3 linked regions of the Canis lupus familiaris genome follow. The protein of the gene in region 1 interacts with the protein of each later gene in a pairwise test. Links are inferred from orthologs where the notes say so. Each region holds a gene or a part of one and is shown on either strand. Other genes may lie near its edges.

Region 1 (3,644 bases):
AACCAAACAACAAAAAAGATAAAATCCAACCAAACAATCCTAGACACTCCCCCAGTTGGGGAAAAATGAGATATTTGAAATCAGGGCCAAGTTGGAAAATCAGGAATGGATGGTGATTATGACTGATCGTCAAAACAAATTGATCCTTGTGACCTTGGCTAGCGTAGCCGCAGGAACAGCCTATGGGCCCCCATCAACTGCCTGCTCCCCTATTGCAGTTTCCTCTCCATAAATTCCAAAGATCCACCTGCCTGGTCTTTCTGCTACACTCTCAGTTCCTTCATCTGCACTTGTTTCTCCCCAGTACAACTATGGGCTGGAAATAGTTTCCTCATTTCTTCCCGACCATACCCTATATCTTAATCTAGGTGGTGGCCACACAGGTTAACAGTCACCCATTTAGTAGAAGTGTCAACACACACTTAAGATGTGTGCACTTTACCGTATGTCACTTATGCACTTAAAAAAATTCGTCTTAAAAAATCGTTCCGTATTCCAGATTTATTTATTTTTATTTTTATTTTTAAATTTTTATTTATTTATGATAGTCACACAGAGAGAGAGAGAGAGGCAGAGACACAGACAGAGGGAGAAGCAGGCTCCATGCACCGGGAGCCCGACGTGGGATTCGATCCCGGGTCTCCAGGATCGTGCCCTGGGCCAAAGGCAGGCGCCAAACCGCTGTGCCACCCAGGGATCCCGTATTCCAGATTTAAAAGATAAACACAGAGATAGGGCTATGAAATCTGTGGAATAACATTACCTCAGACATTACTCTGGGGTAAATGGAAGTAGGCTATAAAACCAAATGAATACTGTGATTGCAGGTATGAAAACACTGAGTAAGGGAGGAAATGAAGTTGTGAGGTTTTGTGCTATGGTAAGTAAGCTATAGATTTTCTATAATAAGGCCATATTGGTTTACAATAAAAAAACAGATACAGGGATCCCTGGGTGGCGCAGCGGTTTGGCGCCTGCCTTTGGCCCAGGGCGCGATCCTGGAGACCCGGGATCGAATCCCACATCGGGCTCCTGGTGCATGGAGCCTGCTTCTCCCTCTGCCTGTGTCTCTGCCTCTCTCTCTCTCTCACTGTGTGCCTATCATAAATAAAAAAAAAAAAAAAAAAAAACAGATACAAAGGGGGCATCTGGGTGGCTGGAGACCTGAGGTCAAGCCCTAGAGTAGGGAGCCTGTTTCTCCCTCTCTTCCCTGCTCATGCTCTCTTGTGATCTCTTTCTTGCTCAGATAAATAAAATCGTTAACACAAACAAAAAAACAGACACAATGGTCTGAGATCTGAAACATAACTTATTTTAGCAGAAACCTGACTCTTTTATCTTTGTGTGTGTTTTTTTTTAAGATTTTATTTATTTATTCATGAGAGACACAGAGAAAGAGAGACATAGGCAGAGGGAGAAGCAGGCTCCATGTAGGAAGCCTGATGTGGGACTCGATCCCGGGACCCCGGGACCCCAGGACCATGCCCTGAGCCAAAGGCAGAGACACTCAACCGCTGAGCCACCTAGGTATCCCTGACTCTTATCTTTGTACACGTGATATTTAACTATCTGTCAAAATCACATGTATGATTTTATTATCTAATTGAAACTTTTGAGAATAATGTCTACTTTTTTTCATTTGTTTTTACTGAAGTTCAATTTGCCAACACATAGTATAACACCCAGTGCTCATCTCATCAAGTGCCCTCCTCAGTGCCCATCACCCAGTTACCCCAACCCCCCAACCACCTCCCCTTCACATCTACTTTTAAAATGAAAATTAATGGCCAGGCTGGATTAGATATGGAAATATTGGATATAAAGACTTTTTAAAGAATTTTTAAAATACCGTGAAGTGAGTCACATTTATCCTGATTCAGCTTTCTGAAATGAATATTCTTTCGAATGGCAATTACTAGAGCAGTAATTTACTGGAGACCCAATTTATTTAGACTGGACGTCCATCAAATAATGAACACCACCAGGAGCGCTGGAGAAATGTTTCTTTTTTCAAAATGTGCGAGGACAAATCCCTTCCAGTGAGTAACTTACTAAGATCTTGGATCCCTTCAAGGCACTAGAAGTGGGTTCAAAGTCTTAACCATTTGCACTAAAGCCCACTTTCGGCTACTTCATATCTGGATGGCTGAGGATCCACTCACCTGCTGTTAGCCTGGGGGGCAAGGGTGCCATTCTGTTCGGGTGGCGTCTCTGTTGGTTTGGATTTGAAGTAATTGACGAACCCCCCAAACATGCTCTTAATGCTGTTAATGTGCTTCTGGCTGGTCTTCAAATCTTGATCCATCTTGTCCACCATCTTCTCTGTGCGTTCTAAGACACCCCGCTGACGGACGAGCTCCTGGGGAAAACAAGAGGTGATGGCGTCACACCGTTTTATAATGTTCCCCCTGCAGGGGACCACCCAGAGCAGGTTTGTCATGAGGCCTCAGTGAGCACAGGTGGGGACACATAAAGATACTGCCATCTGTGAGGGGAATGTTATCCTTTCTGACACCACATTCCTTTGTCCTGCCTCAATGGGCTTTCTTTCGTACTTGCTCCCGAGTTCCTTTTCCCTCCTGCCCACATGATGCTGGCTCACAGGACCATGTTAAGATGGATGACGCGTACCTGTGGGGGTCAGAGCGCAGGCCTGGACTGGTGGCACATCCTCCAGCTCTCCCTCTTTTTGGCCCCCTGTAAAACTTACGGCCTTTGACCTGACACTGCCCCATGGACTATGGCTCTTATAGCCCCCTTTTCAAATATGGGATTTCCAGTGGGTCACTGGAGCTACCTGGCCCTGGTCACAACTTCAAGTTCTTTCACAAGCTAGGTTCTGGGTCCTTTCTGGGCCCTGTTAATATCTGATCCCAGCAGTTATGTTACCTGTGGCAGACTTCTCTCTTAATATCTTAAAACAAAATCATGAACAATTTTTGATTAAATGCTCCAGACAACTGAAGGATAAAAACAAAAAATATATAATGGGTTTGTTACTTCTAAAAGTGTCAGTAGAAAGCTTTTAGACCATTTAGGGACACAACGTGCAATCTGAGTTCTCAATAGTTACAGCAGGTGAAATTTTGAAATATAATGTACGGGCAGAAAAAAATCCATTGAATTTATTATTAAATTCTGTTAAACTCCTGTTGGAAATAAACTTAGAAAATGCTGAGCTTTACAGCTTTGAATGTTTAAATGTTTTTTCACTGGCCCATGAGACATGTCTGAAGAAACCATCAGGTTTTTTTAAACAAAAGGAAAAACCTTTCCTGCACTGTGTCATTCTTGCAAATGCCTGGACTGTGTCAAAACTTGCAAGAGCTCGTTTTTAGAAGAAAAAGAAAAAAACCAAAGCTGCTAATTTATCTAGAGTTTCTCCTTCTTCCAACACTTCAGGTTTGTCATCTTCACGTCCATTCTGAGGATAAGTCTTTTCTGGAATAAGGAAGGCAAGGCTCTTAATTAGGATCAAAATGATGTTCTCCAGCACTTACATGTTTATTGAGTTGACACACTGCCAGGGCCCTGGCACACCAGGAGGCAGGTCCGTGGCCTCCCCGGCAGCGAGGTCTCTCATGGCGGCTCATCTCACCAACCACTTGCCCTCTTGCTTTGGCTGCCTGCCCTCCATGTGGAGA
Region 2 (4,250 bases), on another chromosome or scaffold:
AGGGAAACACAGGCCCACCTTGCAGACAGACCCTCACATGCCTTGTTTTCCAAGCTCTTCGAGGGGCCAAATGGGTGAAGAGCCATAGGTTCCTTCACATACCTACTTTCCCCAGAGGAAATGCCCCACAGGGTTACCCCAGGGACCAGGAGAAAGCACATAAAAAGCTCACACTACCTGGTGCCACACTGGGTGTCCCCATCGCCATTCCAATGAACGTCAAGACTGGCTCTTCCTGGAGAGCTAGCCCTGCACACCAATTGCAGCAAGGATTCCTCTGGTCAGATTGCCAGCCTTTGAGCCCAGCACTGGCTAAGAATTTCTGCATCTCTTTAAAACTCCTTTAACAGTCCATTCCAAGAAAAACCCAAAGACCTTTTCTTTGCAGTTCCAGGATTGAGTTTACAGAACTTGAGTTCAAAGTGGAATTTAACCTTGTATGCCCAGGTGGGGCCTTACCTGGGTACTCAAGACTAGTCAGTGTTATGGCTTATGAGGCCACAGCCTCACCCCCAGAGTCTCCTGTGGAGGCCCTGAGCCCAACAGGATTGAGCCAACTCCACTTGACTTGGTCACCATCACCAGGGTAGAGATTAAGACAAGAAACCAGGTACACACGAGCTCAAGTACTTTCACTACAAAATAATTTATTACAACACAGCTTCAGCGCAAGCCTATGTACAAGCACACATTCCTGACACCCCCAACTAGGGGACCCTTTTCTTCTCCCTGGCCTTTCTGACCTCCTCTATCAAATCTTTCAGATACTGGATCTCCTTAGCTAAAGAATCTGCCCTCTCCTTCAGAGCCTCGTTCTTCTTTTCCAGTTCTTTACACTCACCAGTGAGGGCTTCCTGCTCTGCCCTCTTCTTCTGGCGGTACCTAGTGGCTGCTGTCTTGTTCTGCTCCATTTTTTTCAGTTTCTTATCTAGTTTCTCAACCTTTACTTTTGCGGTCTTCTCTCCAGGAGGGTCATAGGGTTTGGGGCGGGCAGAACCACAGAGGGAACCTGGAGACAGCAGGCTCCTATTTGGAGAGCCCCTGGAGGTAGAGGGGCTATGCTGGGGGGACCCAAGATAGGACTCAGGACTCATACAGATGCCACTGTCATTATCTGAGGGGGCATCTTCCTCCTTTATGCACTGAGGGATCACGGTAATGTAAGCAGTAGAATCTGACTTTCTATCTCCTTCAGAGATATCCACTTCACTGCCTAGCTCTAAACTAAAAGAATGATCTGGAGTGGAGGACAGGGCCCCTGGGGAGAGTGGAAGTGGTTGCAGAAAGGTAAAGGGGGCAATCTGGTCTGTTTTTGGTAAACTTTCTGGGAGATGGCCAATTGGGTTCACGATCTGAGGGGGCTCCTTATTAGTCTCCTGGACTAGGGGGTCAAAGAGATCACACGTGTCATCCAACGTGGCCAAAAGCTCATCTGGCATGGTTTCCAGGTCATCTATACTGAACAGAGTGTCAAAATCAAACTCCTTCAGATCCATTTTCTCCACCATCCAATCTGTCCCGGAGAAGGCATCCTCTGCAAAAGAGTCAAGAAGGAACCCGAGAGGTCAGACGCACACTTCAGCAACAGCCCGGAGACCAGACCCGGCGGCCAACGACCCCCACTCACCCTTGCCGTTGTCTGAGGCACTGACCAACCCATCCAAAGCCAGCCATTCGGAGGAGCCCGCCTTAGCCTTGTCGCTGGAGAACCCATGAGGTTTGAAGTGCTTGGCCACCTCCAGGTAGTCGTCTAAGAGACCTAGGCTTTCCTCAGCCCCCAAACCCGACTGGTCGAAGGGGGACATCAAGTCCCCCACCAACACCTCGCTGCTCAGGAAACTCATCTCGGCCATGTCGCGGGACTTTACTGGAATCGAGGAATGTGCTTAATTCGAAGGTGTCTTTGTCGGTTACAGCAACGCTGCTGCTGGATGCCGTGAAAAGCCTGAAACGGAAGCAGAAACCGAAACCCCTTCGACATCGGCCGGTCCGGGAAGCTCATCCCTTCCTCCCGGGGGCAGGACGGCCAGACTGGAACTCCACTCGGGAGCAGAGGCTCGGGGACACGTGGCCCCGGGGCCATGGCTTCCACCTTCCCCGCGGCCCCGTCGGGCCGCCCAAGATGGACGCCCTCGGGGCCGGGCCGCTCCTCCCCCCGCCGCCGGAGGAGGCGCGCCCGGCTCATGTCCAAATACGGCCCAGGCCGCCCGGCCCCGCCCACGGCCGCCCGTGACTCACGCTGCGCCGCCGCCGCCCTGCCCGGCCGCCATCTTGGCCCCTGCCACGTTTCGCGGGGGGCCGGGCGGGAAGCCGTCGGGGGCCGCGGCCGGGGCCGGGGCCGCCGAGGGCTCGCTTCTCCCCGCCGGGCCGCACTCTCCTGACCCAGAAGCGTCGGCGTCTCGAGGACACCCAAACAGGGGCCACGCGTCCCGGGCGCTCGTAAAGCCGCTTCCCCCTACGCGGCACCGCCCCGCCCCGCCGCAGGCCGCGCCCAGGCGGGCCGACTGCCCTCGCCGACCCGGGGGAGCACGGCGCGGGCGGCCCCGTACTTACGCCATGGCTTAAGCCGCTGGGGGGTGCCGCTGCAGAGCCTGGTGCTGCTGCCGCCGCTGCAAAGGCCAATGCTGCCGCAGGCACTGCTGCCTCTAATACGCCATGGCGGCCGCGGACCCTGGGGGATTGGAGGAGGGAAGGCGCACGCTTGCCACAGGGATCTACATCTACAGGCGGGAGGAAGGGAAATGGCCGCGCCGCGCCGATCGAGGGTCCTTTATAGACTTTGCCTCTATGAGGACGCATCACACCGCACATCCTTCCGCCGCGGTCACGTGACCCGCGCCTCCCACCCACCCGTCTTCGCGATCCGACGCCCCTATCGTGTCCGACCAGCGACTTTTAGGTCCACGGCGTAGCTGTGAAGAGAAGAGTTGTTACTTCCAACGTCTCGAGAAAGGAAAAAGGCGCGCTACTTTGCAAGGCTACTAAGATCAAAGAGCCTCTCCTCCCTCTGCCGCCGGGAGCGCGGAGGGATTCCTCAGACACACCTCGCTTCCGGCGTCAGCCTGGGGGGCGGGGAGAGAAGTCTTTCACCTCAAGGAAGGTTTTTATTGTGAAGTCAGAGGCCGCCTGGTTATCGCGCGAGATGCTGGCGGAGAGCGAGCGTCGAGCTGATTGGTTAGACATGGTGAGTCATATATATCTCGGTTTCCTATTGGCTCAGACCCCGGGATGGGCGGGCCGCTCCGAGCGGGAGGCCGGGTCCGAGCGGGAAGGGGCGGAGCGGCCAGCGGGGTTCCCGCCGCCGGGCTGTGTCCTCCGTGGCCGCGTCTCGGTGAATCCGCTCTGTAGTGGCTTCTTGAGCCTGGCGTACGCGAGGCTGTCCGAGACGACCCTGGCTCCTCCCCCGGGCTTCTGGAGCCCGAGGAGTCCCAAACGGCGACATCAGGCCCTGGCCCCTGTGGTCCCTTCCTGCCACCCTCCGTCCAGCTCCGAATTAGAGACCCAAGTTCAGGCCCGAGATGAAACTAGGCAAAAGGAAGTGGAATTTCGGGTGCGTTTTCATCACACGCAAGCACCGAAGTAGCTGAAAGGGGAGACTGAGGGCCTCAGTCGGGTTCTAAACGCTCCCCACACACCGTCAGGGGCCAACGCCGCGTCCTTCCCGTGAACTCTCCAGTCCGGTCGGGAAGGTGCACAATCTAGCCCAGTTAGTGACTCTCGCATACCGGCCTGCCAAAACGTTTCTGTTAAAAGTATGCAGTCTATCACAGGGAACTTCTTTTGGTTTATACAGATGCAGTTCCCCTAAGAGATTTTGTTAAACTGGTATCTGTCCCTCTCCCAATTCTGCAACCTGGTGGGGGGAGAATCTTGAGCACCCACGCCCACTCACGGAGGTTTGGAGGTTCGTGTTTGGAAGCGGCGGTCCAGGTCAAGGCCTGCAACTTGCTCTCCACCGGAGAGCTGTGAAGAGTGCCGGGAAAGGTCTCCACTATCCTCCGTCTCCTTCAGGCCCCTGGAGGGCAGAAACCTTGGAGTTTCTGCCTCCGTTTTAGTGGGCCATAGAACTGTAGGAGGGCTGTGAGGTCAAAAATTGGGGGGGGGGGGGGGGGGGCGGACACTGTCCTTGATAACTACAGACCACTCACTAGCCAGCCCAACGATTTCTTTACAAGGTCAAACTGAGAACTAATGGGAGGTGTGTGGCCCAAAGCCACACAGCTGCCAGTGGAGGCATGGGTCAGGCCTCA
Region 3 (4,116 bases), on another chromosome or scaffold:
GGAGAACACATGAAACAAACACTGCCAGTTTCCCCTTCATTTCTTCCTATCTTGATCCCTTCCCAAACCCAAATCCTACCCACGTCTGTCCCTTTATGATAAGTTCACAAAATGCAGTCTTCTGTGGGAACATTGAGGTCATATGCTCAAAATTAGGGAATGATTTTTCTCCCATCCTCAAGGGAATGTTTTTTAAAATTTGAGAATCTAGTTCTCTAAAAAAAAAAAAAACCTGGTTTGGGATATACAGTAAATGAAGAGGCTGTTTGGGAAGGATTTAGATGGAGAATGAATTTGGGAATATGAGAATGCGTTTTAGGGAAGTAGCAAGATGAAGACGTAGTTAGCTTAGTGTTTGGGTTTTGCAGTCAAATCTCAGAAAAGCAAATTAACCCCTCTGGCCTTAGTTTTCTCCGTTTTGTAAAGGGGTAAATAACTCTTGACGAGTTACTTTGCTTCAACATTAAAAAAAAAATCGATTTTCCATTATCTATTCTGAACGTAAAGATAGTTAGAACATTGTCCCTTGTCTATGAACAAGTGAATTGCGGTGAAGATTGATACATAGCATGTGCTCAATAACTATTATTATCATCGCTTTATTGTTTGGATTAGAAGAGGGGTGGAGGGAGTAATGAAAGCGACCTGTACACCTTAGAGGTGCTCCGCAATTACTACCAAAGCCCTACAGGATGGAAGTAGAGTGGGGAATTTCAGGAGTTCGGTTACCGCTCTGAGTTACAGGGGTGTGGAATTCTCCCATATATGGGCCCGACTTCTCAGTATAGAACAGAATAGGATGCTAGGGCTGAGGTCATCTGGTACAGTATTATGCTAATCAAGAATCCTCGCCTCCCGTCGCCGTGCTCTCGGCGAGAAACAACACGGTCACACCGGCTCCTCCAATCCGAGCCCTAACCGCGTGACGTCATCGCCCCGCCCCATTTCCCCAAGGCCCAGGCGGCCAGTCTCTAAGCGCCTCTCCGCGGCACCAGTTCCAGCGGCGCCTGCGCACGCGCGGCGGGGCGGGGCGGACGCGTGCGCGCGGCGTGGGGGCGGAGCCAGTGCGCACGCATCCCGAGCCCCTTCCCCCGCCCTTTCTCTTCTCGGTTTCCCCGTCAGGCTGCGGGTTCAGTCTGGCGGCTGCTTCCGGTAGGAGCGCGGTGCCGGGAGAGTCGGTCTCAGTTCCTCGTCATGTCCTACGGTCCCTTAGACATGTATCGGAACCCGGGGTCCTCTGGGCCCCAGCTCCGGGACTTCAACAGCATCATACAGACGTGCAGTGGCAACATCCAGCGGATCAGCCAAGCCAGTGAGCTGGGGGACGGGGCTGGGGGGCGGGGGCCGTCCCGGGGCCGGGCCTGGGTGAGGTTGCCGGGATGCGGAGCCCGGCCGAGGCTACGGGCTACGGCCAAAGCCACACCTGAGGCAGTCTCGGGCTCTCCACTGCGGGGGCGGCAGCTGTCATCCTTGAGTGTGTCAGGCCCAGGCTCCCCGAGGGTCCCCAGCCCCAGCTGAAGCTTGAATTTCTTCTCAGGTGTCCTGCCCTCATGATATTGGGGCCGAAGCAGCAGTCCTGACAGCCCTGGGGTGGGAGGGGTGTGTGTGTCATCTCGGGAGTAGTGAGTGAGTTGACTTGGCGCAGTGGTCAGCCGAGTTTTTCCTGTCATTTGCCTTACCCCCACCCACCGCCCTTTCCTCTTTGGCCAGCTTGGATCAGGAGTTGTTTACTGATCTAGACTTTAAGTTTACATTCTGCTCAGCTTTTTGCTCCTTGGAAATCAGCTTTCAGTTAAGGGAAGTGGGGAGTGCATGTATTTGGGTGACTTAATACCCAGCTCTTCCTCTAATGAATTTGGAAATCAGATATAATGACTTGTGTTTGAGGAGTGAAATGACTTATGTTTTAATAAAGAGAATTCACCGAAAACATTCCCCTTGACATGGTTTTGTCTTTTGTAGCAAAGATTTGCACATTTATTTGGATTTCAAGCTGACGAAGCTTCTGCATTCCTTCCCTATTTAGCTGCTTTTTTGAACAAATCTCATACACAGAGAAGCTCAGGATCACAATCACACAGGAAGTAAGACATGGTAGAGTTAGTGGTGGATTTCAGAATGTCGTTGCTTGTCTTAAAACTACTCCCCCACCCCCATCATTGGGTCTGAGTAAGACTGAGCTGATTGAGACAAATACAGGCAGGTTCTTGTGCCTGAAGATCATTGCAGAGAGCCCTATAATCAGGTTAGTGGCACAACTTTACTTGGAAAGAATGGTGATCAGCATCCTTTATTATTGTGTTTTTGTGAGCTTGGCTCTACTCTGTTGATAGAACTCAGTTGGTCCTAAATTATAATTATGTTCTATATATAAAGAGGGGGAAAGTTTCTGATGGAAAGAGTGTGAGACCAGGTGAATTGGAAGTGGAAGGAAAAATATGTGGCCTGTTAGGATAGAAATTTAAAAACATTAATATGACCACTGATTTGAAAGTGTAGTACTTTGTGTTCCAATGTCTCCTTTTGTGAGGGAGCTGTAGTACCAGTTAGGTCAGGAAGATTCTGGTTCAAGGCTGAAAGTTTATTGTTGAGGCTAAATCTAACCTTAATGTCTGTTTGAGAAATTTTCATTCTACAAATGTTTGTTTGACTATTAGATATACTCATATTGAGTATAGGAACTGTCATAGCCTGGATTCTTTCAACAGGGAGCCTATGGAGTACGTAACAACTGAAGTATAAAGTTGAAAGGGTTCAGTACTGAAGAATAGGTATAACAACATTGAGTAGGTATTCAGGGGGAAAAGATACCAATTTCACTTGGGAGGGATCTGGGAAACCCATTGTGGCATTTGAGCAAGTCTGGAAAGTAGTAGAAAGGATTTGAACTTTTAACAGTGAGGAAGGGAAGAGGAGGGAATAAAATGAACAAGGCGTGGTAGTGGGAAAGCATGGGGTGTATATAGAAAAGTAGAGTGATTTAATTTGGCTAGAAGGGATTCTAGAAAGTTGTGGAAAATTGCGTTGGAAAGGTAAGTTGAGGGCAGCCCAGGTGGCTCAGCGGTTTAGCGCTGCCTTTGGCCCAGGGTGTGATCCTGGAGACTCGGGATCAGGTCCCACGTCGGGCTCCCTGCATGAAGCCTGCTTCTCCCTCTGCCTGTGTCTCTGCCTCTCTCTTTCTCTCTGTGTCTCTCATTAATAAATAAAATATTAGGAAAAAAAAAAGGAAAGGTAAGTTGGGGCCCAAACATGAAGGGCTTTAAGCGCTAAACTAAAGGGGGGTGGATTTAGTCTTTTTTTTTTTTTTTTTTTTTTTGAGTATTTATTTGTGAGAGAGAAAATGAGTGGAGATGAGGGTGGGAGGAAGGGACAGAAGGAAGAGCAGACTCTCCACTGAGCAGGGCGCCTGACCCAGGGACCTTGAGACATGAACTGAGCCAAAGGCAGCTACTTAACCAGCTAAGCCACCCAGGAGTCCCTTGGATTTAGTTCTTTAGGAATGTATAAATTGAATTGGAAGGGAAAAACTGGAATTAGAGACACCAGTCAGGAACTGTGAAAATGAAAAGGAAGGAAAGGATAGGCTTCTGTGGTGACAGAATTGATAAGATTTAGCTGTTGGTTGGGTATTGGGCTCAAGGGATTATTGGAGTCAACCATTAATAACACTAATAGCTAACATTTGAGTACATTCTGTGTGCCAGGCAATTTGAAAAGTGCTTCATATGCATTATCTTACTTAATTTTTTAACAACTCCGTTTAAGTAATTACCAATATTATTTCTTTTTATGGGTTAGGAAACAGATTGATAAAGTTTAAATAATTACTGAGCAAACAAATGACAATTTCTGAATTTGAAACCAGATCTGTCTCTTATGACCAATAATTAGCCTTTTTATACTTTTTAATTAATATTATATTTGTAGCAGTTAGCACTTTTAAAAAAATATTTTATTTATTTATTCATGAGAGAGAGAGGCAGAGACCTAGGCAGAGGGAGAAGCAGGCTCCATTCAGGGAGCCCGATGTGGGACTCGATCCGGGATCCCGGGATCACACCATAAGCCAAAGGCAGATGCTCAACCGCTGAGGCAGGCATCCCAGCAGTTAGCACT

The links.
Region 2: the proteins of SNAP29 (region 1) and ATF4 interact in a two-hybrid assay, tested with the Homo sapiens proteins (2 studies listed by BioGRID and IntAct). The link is inferred for Canis lupus familiaris from reciprocal best matches to the Homo sapiens genes SNAP29 and ATF4.
Region 3: the proteins of SNAP29 (region 1) and STX12 interact in binary tests that used the Homo sapiens proteins (3 or more experiments, as listed by UniProt). The link is inferred for Canis lupus familiaris from reciprocal best matches to the Homo sapiens genes SNAP29 and STX12.

Annotation. Positions count from the first base shown.
Region 1 is NC_049247.1:30,788,653-30,792,296, forward strand, and holds part of SNAP29 (synaptosomal-associated protein 29), read right to left. Parts: intron 2,360-3,644; coding exon 2,163-2,359; intron 1-2,162. UniProt on the Homo sapiens protein: SNAREs, soluble N-ethylmaleimide-sensitive factor-attachment protein receptors, are essential proteins for fusion of cellular membranes.
Region 2 is NC_049231.1:26,489,601-26,493,850, forward strand, and holds ATF4 (cyclic AMP-dependent transcription factor ATF-4), read right to left. Parts: upstream 2,768-4,250; 5' UTR 2,554-2,767; intron 1,946-2,553; 5' UTR 1,854-1,945; coding exon 1,628-1,853; intron 1,535-1,627; coding exon 708-1,534; 3' UTR 623-707; downstream 1-622. UniProt on the Homo sapiens protein: Transcription factor that binds the cAMP response element (CRE) (consensus: 5'-GTGACGT[AC][AG]-3') and displays two biological functions, as regulator of metabolic and redox processes under normal cellular conditions, and as master transcription factor during integrated stress response (ISR).
Region 3 is NC_049223.1:71,975,182-71,979,297, reverse strand, and holds the start of STX12 (syntaxin-12), read left to right. Parts: upstream 1-1,194; coding exon 1,195-1,312; intron 1,313-4,116. UniProt on the Homo sapiens protein: SNARE promoting fusion of transport vesicles with target membranes. Together with SNARE STX6, promotes movement of vesicles from endosomes to the cell membrane, and may therefore function in the endocytic recycling pathway.